2 linked regions of the Bombyx mori genome follow. The protein of the gene in region 1 interacts with the protein of each later gene in a pairwise test. Links are inferred from orthologs where the notes say so. Each region holds a gene or a part of one and is shown on either strand. Other genes may lie near its edges.

Region 1 (2,529 bases):
AACTGACTACCACTATCAAAAAGTAATATTATGTGCTCAAAATCAAACCTGCAAAAGTAATAAACTGCACAATTACTAGTGTTAGGACGTCATGTTAGTCCACACAGGTAGGTTAGAATAGTAATATGGCCATTAAATTATGCTATTGATATTTACATTTCATATATCAAGGTGAATGGTGACATGTACTTTCTGATGTGTATTGGCTACAGTAATCACTTAAGAGCAGGTGTGCACTTAGAAATGCTGTGAAGAAGTGTTTGTTCACACATCTTTTGAAAAGAAAAACAACCCTTTTCATGAGCAAAATCATGCTTTCTATTCACACAATAACAATTGACAAGATGATGTGAATGTAGCTAGCCTTTTTTTGTGGGCAAGAATCTCCTAATAAGATCCCTGTACTGATTTTGTTAGTGGAAAGAACTACTTTACATTTTAGACTAAAACTCATTAAAAGATTTTTTTCTAATTATGATTCTATTATCTCTGATTTCAAATCCATGCTCAGATTTCTTTGTTGACAATCAACTCTTAAAAATCTATCTATCTATAGAGGAAAAATGCTATTTATTCCAGATACTGTACAGAAATATTTGACTATTTATCACTGTCAGCCATTATCGATGGAAGGATATTCTGCGTACACGGCGGTCTAAGTCCGTCGATACACACCCTAGATCAGATTCGTACTATTGATCGAAAGCAGGAAGTTCCTCACGACGGACCAATGTGTGACTTGTTGTGGAGTGATCCTGAAGGTAAATATGAAACAATGATTAGCTGTCACTCTTGGATTCGTCCGCGTGATTAAGGAAAAGTGCCAGTATAGTTTCCCCTGGGACAAACATGTTTTTCTGGTTAGAAAGTGGCCTATGTCATACTCCTGACCTTAAAAAATCATGTGAATGCATTGTTTCGTTGGCGACGTAAAAAAAGGCAAACAAACACTTTCACATTTAAAATATTTGTATGGATGTTTGTATCCTGAACTAGAATATAGAATAGAACCAAGAACATTTGTGAAAATCCACCTTACCTAAAGTTACATAATGTGATCAGTGCCTAGTGATGTAATTGGTAAATCATGCAATCAACTTTGATCAAGCAATGCAACCGCATCTGAGTACAATTCCTCTGGCAGGTAACTGCAAAACATTTACTTCGATGGTGAAGGATGAACAGATGACATTCTGTGATAAAAATAAATTAACCCATAAACTCAAAAGAGGAAAACGATCATAAATTTTCATGACAGTATTTTCCTTGTATCTTCGGTTTGTAGTTATTATTATATTCTGGGGATTAATATGGAGGGGAAATAAAATGGTGACATGTAAAGAAAGAATTATTATTATGATCCTTGGGCTAGTTAACTAAAATCTAATTCTAAATATTTTTAATCTTCTTTACCTAAAGAACTGAGATTATGGTTTTATCTATTGCAGATACACAAGGTTGGGGTGTTTCACCAAGAGGAGCTGGCTATCTCTTTGGCTCAGATGTAGTCGCTCAATTCAACGTGTCAAATGATATTGATATGATCTGTCGAGCTCATCAGCTTGTCATGGAGGGCTACAAATGGCATTTCAACGAGACCGTGTTGACTGTATGGTCTGCACCTAATTATTGTTACAGGTATTTATTGTCGACAAAAGACCACAGATTCTTGCCTAAATTCAGTGTATCATATTATTCTCAAGGTTTTGATAACTACATAGTTTTCTTTGGCACTGACAAAATGTCAGTGACAACTCACTCGGTCATCCTTTACCATGAAAATATAACAATCATAAATATTTAGGGACCATGCAAAACATGAAATCGAACTGTAAAAGTAATTTTAATTCAGTAAACTTAATAGACTCATTTTAAAATTAATATCATTATTCAGTACAATTAAAGCGATAAATATTGAATACTGGTGTTAGGGAGTGTGTTAGATCACAGGTCATTTTCACCATTTTGACCATTTTGACCATTTCACTTCCAGGCTTAAGATTAGGACAGCGATAAGAGTTATTATAAGTCAATTGAGATTTTGACCTCATCTTCTCAAGGTGGGTGACGGTACTCTCTTCATAACCTTAAGCTCCGAAAACTGTCACCCCAAATAAAGGAATCTCATAAATTATAGCCTTTAAATTTTCTGGATACAGCATTGTGTGCAGATATTAATGTATTACTGTACTCGAAAATTAAATCTTTTGTTACCTGTATGTGCTCACTAATCACACTGTTTTTCCTTCTCTGATTCAGATGCGGAAACGTAGCTGCTATATTAGAGTTAAACGAAAATCTTCAACGTGAATTCACAATATTCGAGGCAGCACCGCAGGAATCTCGAGGAGTACCATCAAAGAAACCCCTAGCCGAATACTTCTTATAATGTTCCTGTAAGATAGACAATTGAAACGAACAACTTGTATTTCGGTTTAATATAATATATATAGTGACGAAACAATTTTAATGTAGAGATTTGTTTTTGTGATTTCAAGACTGGCAAGTGTTAATGATGTGACTATGTTT
Region 2 (4,427 bases), on another chromosome or scaffold:
TTATGTGAATTGTTTTTTTTAGTTAAGTATTGCTATAGGTTAAAATTTTAAATTTAGTTATTATTAAATATTATTATTAACTAGTTGTGACTCATTGACTGCTTAAAAAGTGAAAGTTCCAAATATTGTGTATTTGAATTAAGTCGCAGGACACGTGCACTCGTTTTTTTTTAAAAAAATACCAAATTACCAATGAAATATTGGTCATTTGCCAACATTTTACGAAGAGGTTAATTTCACTTTGTTTCAATATATTTTTGCTACAAAGATTTGAGTCCAACATTTCAATCTTCAGACTTATTTGTAAAAGCGATGTTTTCTTTGCCTGACGAATTAAACAAAGCAAATTAATTAACATAATTTACCGGTAAAATGGGGCGATTAGGGATTGAGAGGCGAATCGGGAAAAAACCGGGAAAATCTTTCGACGCTCAATATAAGTTTTATATTCGTTGCAAAATCTTCCATTTTTTGTAGTTTAATAGTAGAATGTTGAAAGTTCACAAAACAACTCTGAACATGCATGATAATAGCTACTAACTTATAAAAAATCGCGTTTCAAATTAACTTCCTGTGGTGGTAATTATTTTAGTGCTAGAAACTTTGCTCTCTTTGATTTATTTGATAATAATAGAAGACGACTATGATTTATAAACGTTATTTAGTGTTTGAACCAGCATATATATTAAAGGTAAGTCTCAGTTGTTATTGGTTTTAATGTATTTGATTAAATAAAAATACATGTAAAAATCTGTTGTTTTTGGGGATATTGGGGACGTCTTAGGTACAAATAACAACGAAAAAGAGGTCAATTGGGATGAGAATACGTGAAATGGAAACGACCTAAGTATAAATAGGTACAGGTTTGTAGGGTTGTCTATGTAGATATAACAATATTTTTTAAATTTGTTGGTAAAAATCTGGTTTATTCGAAGCGAAATTGGGAATAAGTCTTTAGTTGAAATAGATAAGCAATTTAATATAAGTAAGTCGATTTTGCAGAGACATGTAACAAGATCAATGAAATCTCAAGGTGGACAAAAATGTCTAAGTAATACATAATAAAATATTTAATATTTGTTCGGAGTAGGGGTATTCATCTGATTAATCCATGGAATAACCGACACACCTAATCTCTTAACCCAGATAGAAATATCAGCACTGTCGATTGCACCTATAATTGAGGTGATGTCTGCCATGTACTTTTGTCAGTTTTTCAATTTTTTTTATTGATGATCACTTTGTTGGTGCAACTAAATAAATAAATTAATTAAAACTCTATATAAAAATAAAAGTAGTGCCAACCCTAGCAAATTTCTCATTTCGTCCCAATTAACCGCAATTTTCGGGTAAATAGGGATTACACCTATTTTTGCATTTTTTGCTTAAACTGGAACGCTAGTTGCATAATTTTCAATTAGACAACAAAGATGCCCCCAAGACTCAATCATTTTGATCCTGATATAGCATTATATACATCAACAACTACCTTAAAATTGCTCATAAAGTTGGAATTTGTCCCTAATCGCCCCATTTTACGGTACTGTTTCCCACTGTCACGTGTCACTGTTGTCAGACGTCAGTGTCAGTATCAGATTGTGACAATTGTTGATTGTTTTAGTGCCGATTTTATTTGGTAAAGAAAACTAAAATAAACCGGAATGGCTGAAGTTGATACAGAGCAAGATATATTAGAAGATTCCTTGAGCAATATATTCGATCAAGGAATGAAATTGTATACAACTGTAGAAACAGTCAAAGAACCTATGAATAGCGACAGTGTTCAGGTAGGTTAGAGCTGTTTATATTTAACCGACTACATTATATTTATTGTTGTAATGAAATTTTGTGATATATATTATATCACAAATATATTTATAATAAATTCATAATGACTGGATATACTCAAAGATCGTACAATGCTCTCCGTGTTCAATACAATAACGCGTTTAGGGTGCTGGTGGTGCTGCCCCGCTTTTGTAGCGCATCCGGGATGTTTGCAGACGCGCACATAGATTGTTTTTACGCTACCATGCGTAAGAGGTGTGCATCTCTGGTAAACAGAGTGAGGGCCAGCTCCAACAGTATCCTGAGCATGATCGCAAGCAGGCTGGACTGTATATACATGGGTCGCTGTGGTGCCATCTCCCATGGGATGTTACCACAGTAATTCATTGTGATGTAAATATAACTACTAACATAGGTCTAAGTCTTATTAACAATTTATATGAGTCATGGATACTTGAAATAAAAACATTATTATTATTATAATAAATAATATATTCATATTTCAATTACTACTACAATAAAAATAAAATAAAAATATGAATGGAAACTATTAAATGTAAATTTAGAAATGCTTTAAATATTATCACAAATAACAGGTAACCATAAAAACTGCAATATCCAAGTTCGAGAAGGCCACGAAACTAGTGTCACTTTCTGGAATGTTCAGTAAAAATGAAAAGTTGGAAGAGCTGCCTACAGAAACATTAAAGTACATGCTATTACCTGCATTACTTGGCACCCTAACGTTGAAAATTTGCAGACCGTCCAGAAAAGATATTATCGAAGTAGCGGAAATATATTTCAAGTAATCCAATTTATATTCTTTAATACCATAAGCTTAGGTTCATCAATCTGGTACACATTGCTTATTTTCATTATGTCTGATGCTGGAAAACAATCTAGGGCTCTCTACCACCATAACAGAATTAGCTAAATGTTTTTGATTGGCATCTATTACGAATTAGCTTATAGATATTAGGCTTATAGCTGATATAAGCCTACTGAGTTTTTCCCAGTTTATTTTGAGGCTAGGGTTTACATGTTGTGATATTCAATTGAAGATTTAAATGTTATGATCCTGTTTATCTCTGAAATCATGTTTTCAGTTTGAACGGTAGATAGGAGATTTGCCACTAATATTATAGCTTAATTGCAAGTCTCAAGATTTTTAGTGCTTTCATTTCCTAGTGTTGCCAGTAGGTTCCAGTTACTATTTAATTATAGGTCTGCTTTGTTTGCTCATTTATCTAATGCTGGTTAACAAATAATATTAACATCAATGAATGATGCAGCCTTGGAGTAGTGTATTCTTATATTACATATTAACTAATTGGGCAGTAAGATTGCAGTGGCATTTGAGTAAAACAAGCATTTAAAAGATGCAATAAAAGCATGTAAAAGATCAGAATTTTGTCTGCTGATATTATTTTTAGTAAATTACTGTTTCGTTCACAGAGATTTTCTTCAAAGATGCAAAGACTATGGGGTCACAGACGTGGAGATCCCACAATTAAGTGATAGCAACAGTTCCTCATCTAGACCACAGAGCCAGCAAGATATAATAGCTGCAATGGTAATATTATTGTCCTTTATACTTATGAAATGAAAGGTCAGATTTTTAAGCAAGTTAGTTCAAAGTTGGTTATTTAAAAAAATCTGTCATCGGGATCTTGTCAAGACTTCCAATAAATGTAGTAAATAGAATTCAGTATTTTTGGCATATTTTCTTTAGTTGGTGATATCATTAAATTCCAACTTCAACTACATTGTAAATAACTTTGCAATCATTGGACTTATGTGTATGTATTCCAGTTTGTAGATCCATCTATCCACAATCCATCATCACATCCACAATCCATCATCACATCCACAGTTATCTAGTTATCATATTGTTTCAAGTGAAGGCAGGTGTGATTATATAATAAATAAAGTATGTAAAAAATATTCTGATTGTCCTGATAGTAATTATCAAACTGATGAGTACAGCAGTACATACGAGTCATGTGCCAGCAAGTGTTATCTTTAATTACTTTGTAAAGTAAATGTAATTTTTTATTTCAGGTTCAAAGTAGAGAAACTAAAATAAAACGATACAAAGAAGCAAAAGAGTTAAAAGAGAAACTCGGTACATTGTCAAAAGCTATGTCATCACCCATTGTTGATGACGAAGTTAAAAGAGAGTATTTTCTGACGATGTTACATAGCTACGTCAATGAGGTCTTGGATGAACTTAGCAGTATTGAACGGGAGAAACCTATACTGGAAATGATTAGTTGTTCTGGTGAAGGTAAAATTTTTTTTTTTGTGAGAAAAGGCATAATTTACAATTGTACAATATTATATTGTAATATATTAGTAGTACTGATTTGAAGTCGTCGTGGCCTAACGGATAAGACGTCCGGTGCATTCGTGTTGAGCGATGCACCAGTGTTCGAATCTCAGGCGGGTACCATTTTTCTAATGAAATACGTACTCAGCAAATGTTCACGATTGATTTCCACGGTGAAGGAATAGCATCGTGTAATAAAAATGAAACCCGCAAAATTATAATTTGTGTAATTACTGGTGGTAGGACCTCTTGTGAGTCCGCGCGGGTGGGTACCACCACCCTGCCTATTTCTGCTGTGAAGCAGTAATGC

Evidence for each region.
Region 2: the proteins of serine/threonine-protein phosphatase 4 catalytic subunit (region 1) and immunoglobulin-binding protein 1 interact in binary tests that used the Caenorhabditis elegans proteins (3 or more experiments, as listed by UniProt). The link is inferred for Bombyx mori from reciprocal best matches to the Caenorhabditis elegans genes pph-4.1 and ppfr-4.

The regions. Positions count from the first base shown.
Region 1 is NC_085122.1:4,600,654-4,603,182, reverse strand, and holds part of serine/threonine-protein phosphatase 4 catalytic subunit, read left to right. Parts: intron 1-579; coding exon 580-761; intron 762-1,448; coding exon 1,449-1,638; intron 1,639-2,259; coding exon 2,260-2,389; 3' UTR 2,390-2,529. UniProt on the Caenorhabditis elegans protein: Protein phosphatase which plays an essential role in meiosis and in early embryonic mitosis.
Region 2 is NC_085111.1:1,745,116-1,749,542, reverse strand, and holds the start of immunoglobulin-binding protein 1, read left to right. Parts: upstream 1-1,551; 5' UTR 1,552-1,661; coding exon 1,662-1,787; intron 1,788-2,384; coding exon 2,385-2,593; intron 2,594-3,243; coding exon 3,244-3,361; intron 3,362-3,849; coding exon 3,850-4,075; intron 4,076-4,427. UniProt on the Caenorhabditis elegans protein: Probable regulatory subunit of serine/threonine-protein phosphatase PP4 which may play a role in meiosis and embryonic mitosis.